2 linked regions of the Callithrix jacchus genome follow. The main gene of each other region encodes a partner of the protein of the gene in region 2 in a complex. Links are inferred from orthologs where the notes say so. Each region holds a gene or a part of one and is shown on either strand. Other genes may lie near its edges. The genes, in order: UNC13A and RIMS2.

Region 1 (10,576 bases), on a different chromosome or scaffold from region 2:
TCAGTAATTTAACCATCCATCCATCCACCCACCCACCACCCACCCACCCATCCATCCACCCATCCATCCATCCATCCACCCACCCATCCATCCACCCATCCATCCACCTATCCATCCACCCATCCATCCATCCATCCACCCACCCATCCATCCACCCATCCATCCACCTATCCATCCACCCATCACCCACCCACCCATCCATCCACCCATCCATCCATCCATCCACCCACCCATCCATCCACCCATCCATCCACCTATCCATCCACCCATCACCCACCCACCCATCCATCCACCCATCCATCCATCCATCTATCCACCCATCCATCCACCCATCCATCCATCCCTCCATCCACCCACTCATCATCCATCTATCCATCCATCCATCCACCCACCCACCCACCCATCCACCCATCCACCCATCCACCCATCCATCCATCCACCTATCCATCCATCCATCCATCCATCCATCCATCCATCCATCCACCATCCATCCATCTATCCATCCATCCCATACATTGATCCATAACTTAATCCACCTGTCCAATCATTCATTCTTCCATAAACCAACCATCCATCTACCCATCAACTTATCCATCCATCCATCTATGCATCTATTCTTCATCTGTCCACCAACTACTCACAACAATCCATCTATCTAAATACTCAAAAATTATAAACACTTTTCAATACTTTTAATAATTCAACCACACATCCTTCCATGCATCCACCCACCCACCCATCCATCCATCTACCTATCTACCCACCCAACTATCAACAAGTTCACCTATCTACTCATCCTTCCTTCTAATAATTCAACCACACATCCATCCATCCTATCCAATACAGCTTAACGTTCTCATCCAACAACTCATCTATCTACCCATTCAATCGTCTGTCCACCATTCTAGCTATCCACCTATCAAGTTATCCATCCATCATTCTTCTATATCCATCAATCATCTATCCAATTACCCCAAAATTCACCCATCCATGCATCTGTACTTCCAATAGTTCAATCACATATCCATCCATCTGTCCATCTATCATTCATCTAGTCACGAATCTACCCATCAACTCATCCATCTCTCCATCCATCCTTTCATCTACCTCCTCACTCATTCATCTATTCAATCATTCACTCATTCACCAGCATTCATTCAACAAACTAGATCCTGGGAATAGAGTTCTTTCCAGGAACCCCTAGGCAGCCGGAAGAGACATACCCAGACACAAACAGCCCAATCCTGAGTAGTTAGGGCTGGAACAGAAGGAAGAATCTGATGGTGAGTACTGAGAGTCAACCTGGAGGCCAAGGAGGGCTTCCCAGAGGAGGCGACCCTAAATCTGGACCTTGATGGATATAAAGGGAATGGCAGGGTAGGCAGTCTCAGAGGGCCAAGAGAGTGTGGATAGTGTGGCCAGAAAGAGGAAGGGCAGGAAGAAGTGGTGAGTGGAGGTGGCATGGGAGGGGCTGAGCAGTGAAGCTCACCTCGTGCAGACAGGTATACTGGACGTGATACGGGGCCACCTTCTCCTCGCCTTTGATCTCCACACTGATGTGGAGCCGGATGGCGCCCGACACGGCAGATTTGTCAGTTCGCTTATCTGCGGGGCAGAAAAGGATGACCAGAGTCAGAACTTCTCACTATAGCTGTGGGCAATTTTTAATAGATGCACGATTCCGTAGTCCTCCCAGACCTTTGGAAACTCAGGCCTGGGTGTTTCTCTTCTGATTGGCTCCCAGGCTTGAGTCTCTCTGCTTAGGCTAGAATTCCTTAAGCCCTGTTTCTCCCTTCAAACAAGGATCCCAGACCTTGCTTCTTCACTCCGATTAAGTTCCTGGGTGTGTGCCTCCCTCCTTAGGCTAGCAGCTCTAGGCCCTGCTTCTTGCCCAGTCTGAGCTCCCAGGACCTGCCTCCCCCATCAAATCACGCTCCCCAGAAGCTACACATCTTAGACACGGTTCCTGGGTCTGTGCCTCTCTCCTCTGACTAGGACCCCCAAGTCTTGTCTCCTGCCTTCCCCGTCAGAATGGGATATGTAGATTTCTTTCAACCTAAGAGATTTCTGGGCTCTACTCAACCCTCTCAGGCTGGGTCCTTTCAACCCCTTCAGATTAGGCTCATACACCCTGCCTCATTAGATTGGACTCCCCAGATTCTACTCATTTTCTTTTTGTTTTTTCTTTTTCCTTTTTTTTCGAGATGGAATCTCGCTCTGTAGCCCAGGCTGGAGTGCAGTGGCGTGATCTCGGCTCACTGTAACCTCTGCCTCCCGGGTCCCAGTTCAAGCAATTCTCCTACCTCAGCCTCCCAAGTAGCTGGGATTACAGGCATGAGCCACCATGCCCAGCTAATTTTTGTATTTTTTAGTAGAGATGGGGTTTCACCATGTTGACCAGTCTGGTCTTGGAACTCCTGACCAAGTGATCCACCCACCTTGGCCTCCCAAAGTGCTGGGATTACAGGCGTGAGCCACTATGCTGGCCTTTTTTTTTTTTTTTTTTTTTTTTTGAGATAGAGTTTAGCTCTGTCACCAGGCTGCAGTGCAGTGGTGCAATCTTGGCTCACTACAACCTCTGCCTCCCAGGTTCAAGCAATTCTCCTGCCTCAGCCTTCTAAATAGCTGGGATTACAGGCACAAGCCACCACGCCTGGCTAATTTTTGTATTTTTACTAGAGACACGGTTTCGTCATGTTGGACAGTCTGGTCTCGAACTTCTGACCTCAAGTGATCCACCCACCTCTGCCTCCCAAAGTGTTGGGAATACAGGCGTGAGCCACTGCACCTGGCCGAATTCGTTTTTTTGAGAAAGGTTCTCACTCTGTTCCCCAGGCTGGAGCGCAGCAGGGCGATCACAGCTCACTGCAGTCTTTACCTCAGGCTCAGGTGATCCTCACACCTTAGCTTCCAGAGTAGCTGGGACTAAAGGTGTGTGTCACCCTGCCCAGCTAATTTTTCTGTTTTATAGAGACAGGGTTTCACTATGTTCCCCAGGCTGGTCTCGAACTCCTGGACTCGATTAGCCTGCCTCAGCCTCTCAAAATGATAGGATCACAGATGTGAGCCACTGCCTGGTGCCCCCAACCTGGATTCCTTTTTTTTTTTTTCTGGAGATGGAATTTTGCTTTTGTTGTCGGGGTTGGAGTGCAGTGGTGTGATCTTGGCTCACTGCAACCTCCGCCTCCCAGGTACAAGCGATTCTCCTGCCTTTGCGTTCTGAGTAGCTGGGACTACAGGTGCCCACCACCATACCCGGCTAATTTTTGTATTTTTAGTAGAGATGGGGTTTCACCACGTTGGCCAGGCTGGTCTTGAACACCTGACCTCAGGTGATCCGCCCACCTCCGCCTACCAAAGTATTGGGATTATAGGTATGAGCCACTGCACCCAGCCCCAGCTTGGATTCTTAAAGCTCAATCTTCCTTCTTAGATTTGGTTTGCAGGTCTGTGCCTCTCCCTCAGACTAGGATTCCCAGGTCTTGCTTCCTGCCTCCCCCATTAGACTGGGACACAGAGATTCTGTCCCTACCCTCCTTTCTAAGCTGAGCTAAGAAATTTCTGGGCTCTGCTAAATCTCCCTGCCTGGGTGCTTCCTGCCTCCTCAGATTGGGCTCCTAGACCCTGCCTCCCCCATCAGATCGTGCTCCTTGACCAAACTTCTCTGGAGATTGCATCTCTCCCCTCTTCATGGGCTCCACACTCTGGCTAGATCCCTGGGACCCATCCCCATCCCTTTCAGAACCCGGCTTCTCTCACCCAGGTTGTACCACACGTCCATCTCGCCGCTGAGCGTCCGCACCTCAATGATCGTCTGCCCCAGGAAATCGTCAGATTCCCTCTTGAACCTCTGTTTCACACGGGATTTGATGTCATCATCCTCATCCCAGACGCGCACCTTGATGCGGTCGGAGGAATTGTGACATTCACTGTGGCGGGAGGAGGAGGCAGGGGTGGGGGTCAGGTGCCCAGCGTGAGCCCTGTCTTTGGAGCCCCCTTTCGGCTGTCCCAGCAGGGAGCCCCGCACGGGCCCAGGGACCCAGCCAGGCACTTACAAGTGGAAATTCTCCTCCCACACTGGGTTGAGGTTCCCATAGATGGTTTTTGTCCGTTTCTTGGTCTTCCCAACCTGGACGGTGACATAGGGGTCACTGGATCCCGTCTTGTCCTTTGCCTGCAAGCCCTGGGCACAGACCACTGGAAGACACAGAGGGCATACACAGGCGTGAGCTCAAGGAGCGAGGCATGCCGGGACAGTTGCTGCCACACGCTGCAGGCTGATAACAGGGACACCTGCAGCATGGCTGGAGAGCAATGGCAGGCATGCTGGACTTGCTAACGAGGTTTTTTGTTAGTTTGTTTTTGAGATGGAGTTTGCTCTTGTCACCCAGGCTGGAGTGCAGTGCCTTGAACTTGGCTCACTGCAACCTCTGCCTTCTGGGTTCCAGTGATTCTCCTGCCTCAGTCTCCCAAGTAGCTGGGATTACAAGCATGTGCCACCATGTCCGACTAATTTTTTTTTTCATTTTTAGTAGAGATGGGGTTTCAGCATGTTGACCAGGCTGGTCTTGAACTCCTAACTTCAGGTGATCCGCCCGCCTCAGCCTCCCAAAGCGCTGGGATTACAGGTGTGGGCCACCTCACCTCGCCTTGCTAGAGTTAACAAGGGGGGAGCACCCAACCCATGAAGAATGGGAAGGTGCCTCAGCCCGCTTGCCTGTGGGTGGGACCTCTTTCAGGTGTGTGCTCCCCGAGGTCGGACCCCCAGAAGAACCCATTGCCCCCGAGATCTCCTGCTCGTTGGCGCCCCCTGCAGGGTGCCTTCCCTCCCTGACTCACCACCCCAGCTTCATCCTGGGGTCACTTCCTGGATAACTCACATACCCTGAAATCCTCATCCTCGGAGCTGTTTATGGGTAAATCCACATGAGTCTGGGTGTGGAGAAATACCAGTATCCTCACCCCTGAGTGGGGCCACACTGAACTGCATGAATGACCCCAGGGTGGGCTGAGCTGGTGGCCTACAGCATGGTCTGCCCCACGGTGTCTCCTCCAGGGCACCTTCCAACCCTGTCTCAAGTCCTTGCCCCTCACCAGGGCTTTCTAGGGTCACTTTCCAGATAAACTATGCACCCACAATTCTTCTTGGGTCTCATTCTGGAGGGCACCATTCAAGACACACCCGGATACAGTCCCATGAACAGGCATTTGGAGGTACGCATGTCCCCCCATATGCGTGCACACACGGACATGGGATGGAATGGATGAGATCGAGGACCTGCTGCAAAGGAGAGGGACAGGCCTCAGCGGGTGGAGAAGGAGGGGCCCTGTGGCGGCCCCCGCCCCCTCACCAGTGATGCTGATCTTGGCGGACCACTTGGATGTGCCGTCCAGCACGCTCTGCTTGACCGCCTTCATCTGCTGCGTGTGCGCGGTCTTGGTCACCGCGAAGATCTCCTGGATGAGCTCGAAGATCTCGGGTTTGTTGCGCTCCCGGATCTTCATGCGGTCCTTGAGCACCATGATGATGTTCTGCGTCCGGTCCTCCGCCCCGTGCTTGGAGCTCTTCTCCGCGGCCCCTGAGGACGCCAGAGGCCGGCACTGACCCCAGTGCGCCTGCCCTGTGGCCCCTCACCAGGGCGAGGGCCCCGCCCCATACATCAACCGCGGGGGCTCCGGTGTCACCCCTGAAGCCGGTTTCCTACCTGCTCTCTGTACCACCCATCCAGACCCTTAGCCTTTCCGACTCCTCTCAGGCCACGCTCCTCTGAGCCCCCATGTCCCTGAGTCTTGCCCTTCTCTGCCTTCCGCCCCTTGGAATCCCCACAGGTTTTTGGCACCCCTAAGCCGCACCCCTCTAAGTCCCCGTCCCCTCTCTGAGCCCCACCCCTTTGAGTCCACGCCCCATCTGAGCCCCACCCCTGATCCCCGCCCCCTCTCTGAACCCCACCCCTCCGAGTCTCCACCCCCTCTCTGGGCCCTACCCCTTTGAGTCCCCGCCCCCTCTGAATCCCACCTCTCTGAGCCCCACCCCCTGAGTCTCCACCCCCTCTCTGGGCCCTACCCCTCTGAGTACCCGCCCCCTCTCTGAGTCCCCACCCCCTCTGGGCCCCACCCCCTCTGGGCCCCACCCCGAGTCCCCACCTCCTCTGAATCCCACCTCTCCGAGCCCCACTCCTCTGAATCCCCTCCCCATCTCTGATCTCCACTCCTGTGAGTCCCCTGCACATCTCCGAGCCCCCCTTCTCTGAGACCCCTCCGCCTTCCAACTCCCTCCTCCACAGTCCTCTCTCACTCTGAGCCCCTTCCTTCTCTGAGCCCCTCTTCCTCTCAGAGCTACCCCTAGCTAACCCATTTTTATCCAGGGGAGCCGCCTCTTCTCACTAAGCCTGTCCTTTGCACCACCTAGCTAGTCCCTGAGCTCTCCCCCATCCCTCTCTGACACCCTCGCAGCTTCTTACCCCATCCCTCGACGCCCTAGCCCTTTCCCCAGGGAGTTTTGTCCCTTCAGCCCCACCCCTCCCCTTCAGCGGGTCCCTCCCTTGCCCCACGACTCCCCGCCCCTGCCCCGCCCCATGGTGCCCCACCCATGGCCTTGCTCCTTCAGGCTTTCTTCCAATGCAAGCTGCAAGCCCCGGCGCTTCCCACGCCAACCCGCAGCCCTGCGCTCGGGCCCTGCGCTTACGCTGCAGGCAGTCGGCGTTGAGCAGGTCCTGGCACTTCTCGTGGCACTTGACGCCGCACTCGGTGCAGCGCATGCCCTGCCTCGCGATGCCCCACAGCAGCCCCTCGCACTCGTAGCAGTAGGTGGGCGTGGTGGCCGTCCACACCTCGAAGTTGTGCGGCGTCGTGCATGAGATGGGATAGATTAAGGCTTGCAGGGTCTTCTTGTAAACGTGGTTTTTCTGCAGGGAGGGAGGGGTGCGGTTCGGGGCCCTAACCTCGTGCTGTCCCTGTCTTGCTCCCCTCCCCTCCCTGCCTCCTCTTCCCGCGGACCCACAGAGGTTTAGACACTTCCAGAAGCTCCCAGCCCAGTTCATCCCTGACCCCGGGGAAAAAGAGGTGCCCCACGTACCAGCTCCTCGTTGTTCAACGTGCTGGAGGCCAAGGCCGAGGTGATGCCCGCTTTCCTGGACTGGACCAGGGACTAGGGAGGTCACAGAAGAGGGAGTCGGGGGGTTGACATCCATGAGATCACCACCGGGAAGGTTCACAGCCACACATGGGGCCCGAAGCCATATTTTGGAGCCGCAACCGCAAATTGGAAACAGGTCACCGACAGCATCCGGGCCAGACCCAGTAAAGAATTAGGAGATGATGGAGGCTTTGAGTTAGAAGGGACCCTGGAAAGTGAGCAGCCCCACACCCCGACTCACAGCCTCCAACACAGAGGGACAAGGCAAGGTTCCCCCAGAAACCATGAAGTGGGGGCCTGTTACAAGATCCCAGTGGGGCAGTTTGGGGAGAAGACCCCAGGGAGCCCATGTCACCATCACTCACCATGGCCTGAAGTGTCCACGCAGCACATGGGGGTAGAAATCAGACTACATTAGTCTCAGAGAATGCCTAGCTAGTCCCCAACCCCAGGTTGACCATGGGCAGTTGCACAGGTTGCACACTGCTTATAGCAGGCCTGCTCTGCTAGGGGAGTAAAGTGGGCGGGTGCTTACCAGGTCACTCACGAGCGGGATAGGTTTCCTCTTGCGGATGTCAGGCATGCTGTCGATGATGATGAGACCGCCCCCTGGGCTGCAAGACATAGAGGGACATTGAGGGCCCAGCTGTCCCTATTCCTCACACAGACATCACCTGAGCCGTGGGGAGAACACTCAACCTCCCCAGGTGTTAAGGGGTTGAATTGGGTCCCACAAAAAAAGATACATTGATTCCTTAACCCTTACTACCTCAGAAAGTGACCTTATTTGGAAATGGGGTTGTCACAGATGTAATTAGTTAAGATAAGGTCATATGGGGCTAGGGGAGATGCTTCATCTAATATGACTGGTGTCCTTAGAAGAGAGGGATGGAAAGAAGGTGGCTTCGTGGCAACAGAGGCAGAGAGTGACGATCTACAAACAAGTATCTTCTTGGTGGCCAAGGATTTCAAGCAAACACCAGAAGCTACAAGAGGCAGGGGAGGAATTGTCTTCTACAGATTCCAGAGGGATCGTGGCCCAACCAGCGCCTTCATTTCAGACTTCTGGCCTCCAGAATTGCGAGACAAAACACTGTTGTGGTTTTAAGCCACCCGTCTGTGGTACTTCGTGATAGCAGTTCTAAGAAATGGAGACCCCAGGGCCGGGCGCGGTGGCTCACGCCTGGAATCCCAGCACTTTGGGAGGCTGAGGCGGGTGGATCACGAGGTCAAGAGATCGAGACCATCCTGGTCAACAAGGTGAAACCCCGTCTCTACTAAAAATACAAAAAATTAGCTGGGAATGGTGGTGCCTGCCTGTAATCCCAGCTACTCGGGAGGCTGAGGCAGGAGAATTGCCTGAACCCAGGAGGCGGAGGTTGCGGTGAGCCGAGATCGCGCCATTGCACTCCAGCCTGGGTAACAAGAGCGAAACTCCGCCTCAAAAAAAAAAAGAAATGGAGAGCCTCGATTTCCTCATCTGAAAAATGGGGACATAACGTAGTTGCCCACTTGAATGAAATGTAAGTTAAGACAAACCTAAATTATATACTAAAATATAAACGAAACCTTTTTTTTTTTCCGAGACAGAGTCTCGCTCTGTTGCCCAGGCTGGAGTGCAGTCCTTCGATCTCAGCTCACTGCAACCTCCTGAGTTCAAGCGATTCTTGTGCCTCAGCCTCCCAGGTAGCTGGGATTACTGTCACACGCCACCGCACTGGGCTAATTTTTGTATTTTTAGTGGAGACGGGCTTTCACCATGTTGGCCAGGCTGGTCTTGAACTCCTAACCTCAGATGATCCACCCACAACCTCAGGTGATCCACCCACATTGGCCTCCCAAAGTGCCGGGATTACAGGCATGAACTACTGCACCTGGCCCACACCCAGCTAATAAAAAAAAAAATCTGGGCTGGGTACAATGGCTCATGCCTGTAATCCCAGCACTTTGGGAGGCAGAGGCAGGCAGATCACCTGAGGTCGGGAGTTCAGGACCAACCTGACCAACATGGGGAAACCCTGTCTCTACTAAAAATACAAAAATTAGCTGGGTGTGGCGGTGCATGCTTGTAATCCCAGCTACTTGGGAGGCTGAGGCAGGAGAATCGCTTGAACCCAGGAGGTGGAGGTTGCCGTGAGCGAAGATCGCACCGTTGCACTCCAGCCTGGGCAACAAGAGCAAAATTCCATCTCAAAAAAAAAATTTTTTTTTTTTAAGAGATGGGGGTCTCACTATGTTGCCAAAGCTGGTCTTGAACTCCTAGTCTCAAGCGATTCTCCAGCCTCACCCTCCCAAGTAGCTGGGATTATAAGCATGCACCACCACACCCAGCTAATTTTTGTATTTGTAGTAGAGACGGGGTTTCTCTATGTTGGGCAAGCTGGTCTCAAACTCCTGACCTCAGGTGATCCACCTGCCTCAGCTTCCCAAAGTGCTGGGATTACAGACATGAACCACCACACTCGGTTCCAAAAGGTTTTCACTGGCTAATGAGATAGGTGCCTGCAGCCAATGACTCCAGACAAGCCCACAGGGCCATTCATGCTACCAAGCTTTCTGCAGGAGCCGACTGAGCTTAGAGACGCCTAAGCCACATCTTTTCTCGGCGGTCTCCCTTAGTCTGACAGCTTTCTCCTGAGAGAAATATCCTTCATAAATCACATGCACAGCAATCCCCATTTCAGGCCCTGCACCCCAGGCTCTCTAGCTAGGGCACCTGCTCATTTAGGAGTGCCAGCTGCTGTCTCCCTGCCTGTTTGCAAAGGGTGTACAAGGAAGGTCACTATCGTGCTGCTATTTTAAAACCTGAGCATATTTTAAAAATATCCTGTGCATCCTCTAACCTGAAAATCTGTAACATAAGAAGTTAGATGTGACCACATGCCCCATTGAAGACTTTAAGAGTCCCCACCGTAGCAATAATTGAAGAGATTTAAAAATAGACTCAAAGCAAAAAACTTTGCTCTGGGATTACAAATATATAGTGTATATTTCCCAATAATGTCTAGTTCCTAACAGTGTCTGCTTTATATATTTATTTGTTCATTTTTGAGACAGTGTCCCTCGCTGTTGCCCAGGCTGGCGTGCAGTGGTGCAATCTCGGCTCACTGCAACCTCTGCCTCCCGGGTTCATGCAATTCTCCTGCTTCAGCAACCCAAGTAGCTGGGATTACAGGTGCCCGCCACCATGCCCGGCTAATTTTTGTATTTTTAGTAGAGACGGGGTTTCACCATGTTGGCCAGGTCGGTTTCAAACTCCTGACCTCAAATGATCCTCCCACCTCAGCCTCCCAAAGTGCTTGGATTATGGGCATGAGCCAGGGCACCTGGCCCTATCTTCAAAGATGACTGTCTTTTGCATCTGCATATCGTTGTGTGCCTTTGAAATTGACATATTGTGCCCAAGCTCCATCTGTCCCCCGTCTAGATGGAACCCCTCCC
Region 2 (11,335 bases):
TAAAATAGGCATAAACAAGGTCCTAAAACAAATAACATGTGAAAGAGCCTCTACAAATCACTGAAAGTCAGTAACAGAAAAGGGAATACAAATGGCTCTAACCAAATTTTTTTTTTAAAAAAGGCTCTCAAACTCTTTGACAAGAAAATTGCAAATAAGCCTACAGTGGCACCTTTTTCATTGAAATATCGGTAAAAATTACCACACACTGAGTTGGCAAGGATGTGAGAAAGTCCCCTTAGTACATGTCACTTATACATACACCCTCTACAAAAGTAAATTTTGCGATATTTATTAAATTTAAAATATATTAACCCTTTGACCCAACAACTTTGTTTCTAGGAATCTGTCTCAAATATACATTCATACAAATAGAAAATGTATGTACAAAGATATTTTTCACAGATAATACTGTGGTAAATACTAAAAATTTCTAATGACAAAATACTTAGAAAAAAACTTAAATACCCACAAATATGGTACTAAAGAAACTACGGAATATTCATTAAAAGGGATAGTATGTATCCTATATCCATTAAAATTAATGAGGCAGCTATACAGTCACAGATGTGGAACTGATCTCCCAAAAAGCCAACTGCAAGTCACATTTGTGTTTTTATCTTTACATCCATCTGTACATACATGTATGTGCACACACATACACACATATACAGACACACACAATATTATATATATACATGTATTTATTCTTATGCATAGACTGTCACTGAAAGAGTATACAATATAAAATACTGGTAATACTAGTTGGCTTTGGGTGGGGGAAAAAGGTAGCTAAGAAATTTGGGGGGTGGCTCACACCTGTAATCCAAACACTTTGAGAGGCCAAGGCAAGAGGATCATTTGAACCCAAGAGTTCAAGACCAGGCTGGGTTTAGGGAGACCTCATCTCTACAAAAATAAAAAATAAATTAGTCGGGTGTCATGACACCTGTTTGTAGTGCCAGTAACTCCAGAGGCTGGGGTGAGAGAATTGCTTGAGCCCCAGGAGGTCGTGGCTGCAGTGAGCTGTTACTGCGCCACTCCACTTCAGCCTGGACCTCAGAGCAACAAAAATGAAAGAAAGAAAGAAAAGAAAGAAAAGAAGAAAGAAAGAAAGAAAGAAAGAAAGAAAGAAAGAAAGAAAGAAAGAAAGAAAGAAAGAGAGAGAAAGAAAGAGAGAAGGAAAGAAGGAAAGAAAGAAAGAAAGAAAGAAAGAAAGAAAAGAGAAGAGAAGAGAAGAAAAGAAAGAAGAAGGAAGGAAAGAAAGGAAAGAAAGAAAAAAAATTTTATTTCAAAATTTTATAAATTAACTTTGGAAACTACTTTTAAAATTGAAATTTTTTTAAAATGTAGAACTGCTCACTTGTATGTTAAATATATACTAATCATTACCCTAATCTAGCAGGAAAATTTTTACTTATTGCCTTCCTCCTTTATTTCGGGAGCAAATTAACTCTTTAACAGAAAATCTAAACTGCCAGTGAAAAGAAAATATACACATTAAGAAACACATAATTTCTAATTTGTGTAATCTGAAAGACTATGATATGCACATATTAGAAACAATATTTACTGAATGAATACTTTTCTATTGATTTAATGGGTTTGCTTTCCTCATACATTTTTTCACAATTACACAAAAAATCCCACTGGAAATTCAACTTTTAAAAGTTACGTATTTATTTCAAACAATGGTTCTTCATTGTCCCACAAAATTGATAAGCTACCTCCTTAATATTACCACAATTCAAATAAACATAATTTATTAAGTATCTATTATGTGAAGGTGTTAAGGATGTTGCAAAATACAAACTAAAAAAAAGGGTAAATTTTGATTCTTGCCCTCAAGAAGTTTACAATCTTGAAAGACAAGACTTAAGAACATTATTCAGATGTCTTGGAAGATTGAAAAAAAACATTAATCAGTAAAAAGACATTATAAATTTTACTGATGGACTGAATTAGCCAAACTAAAACTGCTACAGGAATACATGAAAGGATTTTTTTAAAGTAATTACTGATCAGGGATCTACTAAGATTTTTAAATGCTTGCAAAATTATAGTAACTCGCTCATATGTAAAACGGTATTATTTGATGATGATGCATTTCCTATATGGATGTTCAGCTGGACTTTGATTAAATTACTAATAATTATGTATAATTTTTAATTATTCAAGCTCCTAAGGTGAGAGATTACAATAATAGTCTCAGTTTTAAATACTCACTGTCTTATTAAAAATATCTCAAGCATTAATCTTTTAATACATGCATATTTACTTATAAATTATATGCATCTAAGTATTGTCCATCTATATATTAAATATTAACAAGGTTCAGATTCATTCTTTTCTCCACTTTGTCTGAATACTTAACATGAAAATTGAAACTCATAGATCATGCAAAAATATTTTTATCTAACCATTGCAGTATCTTCACACATCAAACATTTTTTAACATAATTGTTAAAAGGCAGCAGACATGCATTTAAATTTCAGTTTCTTTTTCTCTCTACTCTTAGAATACATGTTAACACCCAACGTAATGAGCAGCACTAAAAAGAAACAAAGGATAGTAATGACCAAATAAGTGGGCCCCAAAACTTCATGGGAAACAGTAATCATTGAAGAAGGTTAGTATTATTTTTCTTATATATTTGTTATTTAATACCCAATATTGATAATATGTTATTTAACAAACTGTCAAATTCTTAAAAATAATTTGTCTCTCATTACAATAATTCTATTATAAAGTCTATTCATTTCATTTTCCTTGCCTACTCTTTCATTAAAAAAATTAAGAACATTTAGAACTAAATCTCCAAATAAATATATTATGCTTTAACCTCCAAATAACTTTTTGTTAAAATAAATATAACAAGAATTCTGAGACCATGAAAGCCATTTTGAGATAAGACACCTTTCTAAGACTAAGTTAGGTAGCAATGCAAATAAATATTTCAAATAAATCTATATATATATTTTTCATCAATGTAATTTTATAGATTGTATGAAAAATGTACTTAGAGAACATTTGTTTCTATCTAACCTATGGAAATATGAATATGTAAATATTATATGTATTTGAATAGTATGTAGGTTTACATATAGATATTATACATGTAGCTACCTGAAAAACCCTATTACATCTTCTTCTTAATATACTGTTGATTTTGAATAATCCTAATTCAATACTTAAAAGTCCACTTATATTTCTATATTAAACAATAAATAGAACTACAGTGAACTAGCCAATAAACACTAAGGTTTAGCATACTATGAAGAAATAAAAACACATTTTATATTAAATATGTAAGTCAAAGAAATAAAACTACATTTTATTGGAGCATCATTTTGGAGACACTTATTTTTTTCAATTATACTAAAAGGCATAAGTTCATATATTTAAATATCAAAGTGCAAGTCATCAAAAGCTTGATATTGTTAGTATACAAAATAAAGTTAAGCAAAGTAAGAAGTATGCCCAAAAAAGCTTCTAAAAATAATGCTTTATTCTTCTATTAGTTGGAGTAAACTGCTTAAGTCTCTTAATTTCTTTACATCCCAAGGCTGTTAATAAATAACATTCCCAAATTAGTATTCAACCCCAGAAATTAACTTTCACGTAGAAACTATTAATTTCAGTTATGTCAGGAACATATTTGCTGTTTTAGTCCCTCAATATTTTGTGAGAAATAGTATCTTTAGATTTATGAATATTTGATGTTTGTTACCATAAATTATTTAAAGTAGGATTTTTCATTAAAATATGAAAATATATACCTATTGACAACGAAACTTGTTCCTTTGTAAGTACATGAAAGAATACTAAATTCAACAACATGTTTTTAAATTTTACCTGAGTAGAGGTGAGTGTATTAGTTCCTTCATAGAGGAACTCCACACTTTCACTTGTATGTGTCTGTGGAGAATACGGGAAACATATACTTGACAAGACGCAAAAGAACATCCCACCTTTGGTATATACACTGTAAGTTAATCTCTCAGTGAGTAACTCATTTCAAGTAAAAAGAAAAAAGCCATCTGGGAAAACATAAAAAAGGTTACACGCCTTCTGAACAACCTCTTTCACAAACTAACTGACACATCAAATAACCACAAAACATTTAAAAGCAAGTCCTGCAGAAACCACTATCTTTGCTAGACTAACCAGAAAAGGAGTCTCGGAGCTAAAGATAGCCCTGTCTGGACAGTTCCCTGGTGCTGAAGTTCCAGAGCCAGTAAACGGATGCCTGGGTGCTGTTTTCACTCCTCCCACCCTCGGGGGAAAACCGGGCTGCCAAGACTGTGAGCACGGAGAGTAGAACTTCACAAGGTAGGCAGCATCCCAAACCGCAGGGATGGTAGGAACTGGAGTCTCTTCAGGATTAAACAGATTTACTAGTTGCAAACAGGAAGAGCAGCAGAGTGCAGGGTGTTAGCGCTTGCCAAGGGGGAGGGGCTGGAAGATGGCGGCGGCCGCACACCCACCCGAGACGCGACAGAGCTTAGGCCCCTCGCCCACGCCGCCGCCCGCTGCCCGCAACCACCGCGGGCAGCCCTGCTCTGTCCCGCGTTGCTGGCAGAGCGGCTCCGCGGAGACGGAACCACGGGTCCCCGGCGGCGTCCGCATCCCCGGCCGGAGCGCCTTCGCCCGGGTCCGGCCAGGGAGCACCTGTGCACGGCCATATTGGATTCCGTGCCCCAGTCAATGCCTCCGCGCTCAGGCGGCGGGAAAGGAGAGCGGACGCGCAGTGCCCGGGTTCGGCCCCGGTCCCGCTGGGGCCCCGGAGCCAAGCTGACCAGCGGGGAAATCCGAAAAGGCGCCGGGGAAAATCACACCGCCCTACGGCCCGCCACCCTCACCTCAGCCGGCCTCGGTTCCCTCCCTCCCCGACACACACCCCCCGCTCTCAGACACCCAGCAAACAGCCGGGGCGGCCGGCGCTGGCCGCAGCCCTCGTGGCCCGGGCGCCGCGGGCGGGAGGGAGGGCGGCGATCCCCGGCGCGCAGGCGGCCGCAGGGCAGCGGCCGAGGGGGCGGAGGGCAGGGAGAGAGGCGGGAACATGGAGTCAGATCCTTACTTGAGCACGGACTGCTCCTTCTCCTCTTCTTTCTTCTGTCTGTCCATGACGGCCAGGATGATTTTCCTCTCCTCCTCCGTGAGGTGGCTGAGGTCAGGCATCTCGGGCTGCAGAGGCGGCTGAGAGGCCGCCGGGGTGGGAGCCAGGCGGCCCCGGGGCCCGACAGGAGCCGACATGTTTGGTGGAGCCGAACCGCCCTAGGGAAGCGGTGAGGCAACTCCGGTGGCAGCGGCGACACCGGCGCGGCGGCTGGGGCAGCCTCCAGCGCTGGGACAAATACATACAAATCAATGGCCTTCAATCCAAGGCGACAGCCCCCCTCCCCCAAGAAAGAGCAGGGGGAGGGGAGGGCGAGCGCGTGGGGAGGGAGGGCTCAGGAGTGCGCTTCGGGAAATGTTTCTTCTTCCCGGGGGCGGAAGGACTGTGAAGTGAGCGGTTCAAAGGAGAGGGGAGCGGGAGGCCGGGACGCGGAGTGAGCGGAGCGGTGGGGGAGGGCGGTGGAGTAAGGTGGCGGGGACGGCTCGGGGTGGGGTGACTAGAGGGAGCAGGCGGGAGGGCGACTACGGACCGGGGCGCGAGTGTGTCCGGCCGCGGTGGGGGTCGGGAGCGCGCGCGCCGCCTCGGAGGGGAAGGGTGCCTGCGAACCAGCCCCCCGGGGAGTCGCTGCGAGCCTCCAAAGTACCGCCGGCCCGAGAGGCACCCAGGCGGGAGCGGAGAGGGTAGTGAGGAAGCGGGGGCTCAGCCTTCCCGCCGGCTGACGCGTCACAGGGCTCCCGCGCGCCACGGAGGGAGGACTCCTCCAGGCACGCCCGGAAGGGGGCCGTGGGGCCGGAGACCCCAACCCCACCCCGCCAGCTAAAGTAGAGAAGCAAAAGCGGAGAAGGAATGACGGGGGCTAGCGGCGGAGAGTCCCGGGGCCAGGGCCCATCGGGTGCCAACGCCCGGATCCAGGCGAGCAGCTCCGACGTGCAGCGGGGCCGGGCGCCAGCCCCTCCTCATCACGCGCCAGCCCAGGGTCGCTCGGCCGCCGCCGCCGCCGCCGCCCCTTGGGTCCAGGGAGTCGGCGCGGAGGGCCCGCGCTCCCTGCGCCGCCGCGCTCACCTCCTCCGCCCCTCCGCCTCCCGGGCTCTTCCCGCGGGGCCGCGTCACCTCCTCGCCGCCTAGGCCGGGGCACCCCGCAGGCGGCAGCCGCCCCTCCCTGAGCGCGACCTCCGGGCTGGGGCCCCGGCCAGGCGGGGAGGGAGGGGAGACTGAGTGTTCGGGGATTGAAGTGTGGAGAATGCGTGCGTGTGAGGGACGCCTGAGGTGTCGGGAGCGGAGAGAAGGGTATGAGTCGGGGTGGGGTCTGGGGTGCCAGGTGTGGCTGGTGGGGAGGTGAGGGCCCCCAAAGGACCGGGAGGGGCGGGGAGCGTGAGGGTGGAGTCAGGGCTGGAGCTGAAGGCGGGTGCCGGGAGGGGTCGCCCAGGTGTCAGGCCCTAAGGAGAAAGAGGGAGCGAGCGTGGCTGGAGGGCCCCCGAAGTGTCGGGGCGGGATCCTGGAAGGAGGGAGGAGGTGAGTAGGGAAGAAGGGTCCCCAGGGTGTCAGGGGTGGGAGCCAGGAAAGGGGGAGAGAGCTGGAGGCCCTCCAGGAGTAACAGCGGGGCAGAGAGGTTGCAGCGAGTGGCAGACGCTGGTGGTGTCGAGGGGCGCAGGGCTTGAGGAAGTTGTGGAAAAACCCGAGCTTGACGGACGAGAACGTGCAGAGGGATCCTGAGGGGAGGACGCGGGGAGAGACGGGGAGAGTTAGGGTTGGCTGGGAGGGTGCGAACCGGACGCGACCGGTAAAGGCTAGGAAGGTGAAAGGACTTAGAATGGTCCCGAGAGAGGGGCTGGGCCGGTACTGAGGCCAAAGTTTCTGTCTGCCTGGCCCTTTTTAGCGCTCACGCTAGTCTAGAAAGAAGAGGCAGAGACGCGACGAGATTGGGTTAGAGTCAGAGTCTGATTTTCGTAGCACGGAGATAGGTTCAATGAAAGAGGACAAGGGAAGACAAGAAACCAGCGTCTGGAGAACGGAGGTGGCCACTGCCGTCCTTTGCGCTTCGCGGGGCTGGGCGGCGCCCTGAGAGCCCTCCCGGAGGGAACGGGGCGGGGCGGGGGGCACGGGTCCGGGTGGACGGTGCTAGGCAGCCTCGCTGGCTCTTCCGGGCGCCCTGGGCAAGCACTGCCGGTGACTGAGTTGGGGTGTGTGTGCCAGTGTGTGTGTACCCAGGTGAACGTGTGTGCGCACCCCACCCAGCCTTCCACACGCGCACGCTGCTTAGTACCACGTCAGATTGTGTGCTGATGAGTAACGTAAAGCCTTTGAGGTTTATATTATATTTACCTTCTTGGTGTGTAGTAAGCGCTCTCCCTCCTCCCTCTGTTCCCCAGGCACCATCTGACTAGCTCCCCATTTAAGAGAGCTGGGGATAGGCAAAGCAGCCCTGGAAGTCTCCTGTGATTTCTAAGCTTAAATGTCTATTTTTATTTTCTCCCATGCCTTGTAATTGGGAAGAGGGAAAAGTTTACTTAAGAGCTGTTTTTTAAATTATTACTCACTTGTTTCAAACAACACTCCAGATAATTCCATTTTCATCTCTTTGGAGCTTAGCAAATCAGATCAAATTATATGAATCCCAGTTTATTTAATTTTGTTTTAGAGTTCAACAATTTTTCTGAATTTCTAATCCAACCTCATCATCCTATGGGAAACAGAAGACCACCAAGAACAGCTAGCTGGTAAGTAGCAGGGCTGGAACTAGAACCTAGATATTTTTAATCCACTTTGAAACCATGCCAGTTTTCAACCTTAGCTGCACACTAAAATTACCTGGATTACTTTTTTTTTTTTTTTTTGCCAGTCATCTGAGTTGAAGATTCACTGGGTCACTTTTTTAAAATATCACGTAACAAAAGAATCAGACTCTGGTGTTAGGGTCCTGGCTGTGGATATTGTTTGAAAGTTCCCCAAGTGACTAAGGTATAGCAAATATTGAGAACTATACTATTTGCATCACAAAATAGATAATGGAGAAGGAAAAAAAGTGTCAAACTAAGAAAAAAAAAGTGACAACTAAAAACAACCCTTTGGATAACAGAATATTTTTACCGGAAATTGAAATTGACTTTTACTATCCATATTTTCACTACGCAGTGACAGGTACCAGTAAATACATGTATCTTTGACTTTCACCTAGGAAACCCTAAGTGCTGCTAAAATACACTAACTGCTCCTTTAAAAGAGAGGAGAGCAGAACTAAAAATAATCGAAAGGAATGGCTGGAACAGTCTACCTTATTCAACTATTTCTATGCCAGATTTGAAAAAACAAACACCGCTTCCCACCCCCAGCCAACTATCAACCCAAGCAGAACCAGAAGCCAGAATATACACACTGCTCAGAGGTTTAAACTTTTTGAAGTTAAAATAGCTTAGTTATTTTAAGTCTATAAAATGTGAACTTCAAAGTTGTGGTACAAATTAGACAATTTTGGCTTCCTTTACAGTAAAGGGTCACCCCCTGGGTCCTGCACTGTTTTCTAGCAGTCATATGGTTAGCATGCTGAGTGCCTGAGGCTGTGTCTCCCTGCACCCCCACCCATGCCTCACCTGCCAGGAGACAGTGCCAGCTTATGAAATACAATGGGCATGAGCCAGTATCACTGGAACATCTGACTTCTTACTGAAATGAAGCAGAAGTGAGTGGGGTTACTGTTACTGTGTTTCCTTTTCACAGTTTTTACTACAACTAGATGTGTTTTTCCTATTAAAGGGACTACTTAGGAGTGGAAGTCTTTTAAAATTATCTTTCACTGTTATTCACACACTTGGATGAAATAAAAATTTGTCACAGTATTTATATATCACTACATAGAATATACATTATATAGAATTTTAAAATTGGCTTTAGCATAATAAATGAACTACTTTTCAAAGTACTTGCCCCAGTTTGACAAGATTGCTAGGATCAGAACTAAAGAAAGAAAATGTATTCACAAGATCTCTGTCTTTTGTTCTTTCTACAATACGGATCTTAGAGGTGTTTTGTTTGTTCTGGTACAGTGTTTTACTTAAAATCTTCATCACATATGACTTTGTCTTTTACAGCATTATCTTCTACTTTGGCATGTCCCTCAGTGTATGAACACATTTAAAGTTGAGTCAAAACTGCAATATTCTCGTTTAACTTTATAAGTAACAGCTGTCTTCATCATTGAATTTTCAAGGTCTTGACAGGCTATAAACTAATCCCAAAATACATGTCCTGGCCAGGCCCTGTGGTTTACACCAGTAATCCCAGTACTCTGGAAGGCCAAGGCAAAAGGATCTCTTGAGCCCAGGAGTTCAAGGATACAGTGAGCTATGATTGCTCCACTGCACATCAGCCTGAGTGACAGGGTGAGACCCTGTCTTAAAAAATAGGCTGGCCAGCACAGTGGCTCACATCTGCAATCCCAGCACTTTGGGAGTCCAAGGCAGGTGAATCACCTGAGGTCGGTAGTTTGAGACCAGCCTGACCAACATGGTGAAATACCGTCTCTACTAAAATACAAAAAATTAGCCAGGCCTGGTGACAGATGCCTGTAATCTCAGTCACTTGGGAGGTTGAGGCAGGAGAATCGCTTGAGCCTGGGAGGCAGAGGTTGCAGTGTGTGGAGATCAGGCCACTGCACTCCACCCTAGGTGACAGAGCAAGACTCCGTCTCAAAAAATAAAATAAAAAGCAAACAAAAAAAACGCAAGTCCTTTCTGCAGTTCCTATAGGCCCTTGAAGCCTATGAGTCTGTGGACTTTCATTTTTACATATGCATAAGGGCTACTTGTAATCTAGTAAATAAGTATTAGGAGGTATATCTAAAGTCACAAACTAAAATACTTACCTCACTAGAATTTACTGAAAGAACCTAGTACTCCGCTACAAAACTGGTTGTTTCACAACGCTCAGAATCATTGCAGCACCCCTTACTGCACGCAAATATATTTAGATGGTTGGCATTTCTATAGTTTCTCATAACAGGTCTCCCTGCTTCTATGCTTGCAGCTCTATAGTCTCAACACTGCACAAAGAGAAAACCTCCTAAAACATTAGATCAAAACACTCTGCTGATCAAAATCCCAAGGTGGCTCCCCATTTTATTCACAAGAGTTCCTTAAATGGCTTACAAGTCCCACATGATCACTGACCTCATCTCCTAGTACTTATTTTGTTTGTTTGTTTTTGTGTGTGTTTTCTCAAGACAGAGTTTTGTTCTGTCACCCAGGCTAGATTGCAATGGTGTGATCTCGGCTCACTGCAACCTCCGCCTCTCAGGTTCAAACAATTCTCTGCCTCAGCCTCCCGAGTAGCTGGGATACAGACACCTGCCACCACGCCCAGCTAATTTTTGTATTTTTAGTAGAGATAAGGTTTCACTGTGTTGCCCAGGCTGGAGTTCAAGAACTCCTGAGTTTGTGATCCACCCGCCTCAGCCTCCCAAAGTGCTGGGATCATAGGTGTGAGCCACCGCACCTGGCCCCATCTCCTAGTACTTTTTAGGCTTTCCTCGAGCGGTTCCCTGTGCCTAGAGTACCCTTCACTAAGATACTCACTTGGTTAAATCCCTTGTCCTCAAATTTTTGCCCAATTGTTCATCCTATTTAATACTCCTACTTGCCCCACACCCTTCCTGGTCATTATGATGATCTTCTTTACCTTACCCTACTTTTTCTTTTTCCCACAGCACTTACCACTCTCTCTGACAACTGTATTTTTACACAAAGTTAAATATATACCCATTTATTATATTTATCATCTACTTCCTCATACTTGAATATAAGCACAAGAGCAGAGTATGAATTTTATTAATGTATCCCAAACACTTAGAACAATACATGGCACATGGTAGGTATTCCAGCAAATATTTGTTCAATGAATTTCTGGGAAGAGGATTTGATATTATTATACTGGTCTGAGTTGGGAATCAAATGGGAAAAAGCATTCTCAAAAGAGGGAAAAGCAGTGTGAATAAGATCTAACGTCTTTGCCAAGGTGTACAGATTCCTTTAGGATTCAGTCACTGTCTACCTCTCTAGCCTAGCTTCCAAAACAGCCTACAAACACATCTTCCTTTTCAGCCATGACAATCTACTTGCACTTTACTCAATGTGTGAATTTTCTCATCTCTGTGACTTTCTATTCCCTCAGTTTAGATCACTTTTTCTGCTTCCTCTCTCATAACTTTCTTAACTTCTTTATCC

Evidence for each region.
Region 1: the proteins of RIMS2 (region 2) and UNC13A are in contact, whole or in part, in a crystal structure (PDB 2CJS), measured with the Rattus norvegicus proteins. The link is inferred for Callithrix jacchus from reciprocal best matches to the Homo sapiens genes RIMS2 and UNC13A. Residues at the interface, in XP_063118965.1 of Rattus norvegicus: Asp102, Gly103, Cys104, Ser109, Gln112, Val123, Leu125, Ser127, Asn128, Lys129, Val134, Met135, Trp136; in NP_074052.2 of Rattus norvegicus: Tyr23, Ile36, Trp65, Leu69, Ile70, Trp71, Asp72, Thr73, Met74.

Annotation. Positions count from the first base shown.
Region 1 is NC_133523.1:16,370,308-16,380,883, forward strand, and holds part of UNC13A (protein unc-13 homolog A), read right to left. Parts: intron 7,750-10,576; coding exon 7,671-7,749; intron 7,148-7,670; coding exon 7,076-7,147; intron 6,906-7,075; coding exon 6,686-6,905; intron 5,580-6,685; coding exon 5,352-5,579; intron 4,198-5,351; coding exon 4,056-4,197; intron 3,930-4,055; coding exon 3,760-3,929; intron 1,606-3,759; coding exon 1,490-1,605; intron 1-1,489. UniProt on the Homo sapiens protein: Plays a role in vesicle maturation during exocytosis as a target of the diacylglycerol second messenger pathway.
Region 2 is NC_133517.1:93,419,379-93,430,713, forward strand, and holds the start of RIMS2 (regulating synaptic membrane exocytosis protein 2), read right to left. Parts: upstream 5,408-11,335; 5' UTR 5,258-5,407; coding exon 5,082-5,257; intron 4,334-5,081; exon of another isoform or gene 4,221-4,333; intron 1-4,220. UniProt on the Homo sapiens protein: Rab effector involved in exocytosis. May act as scaffold protein. Plays a role in dendrite formation by melanocytes.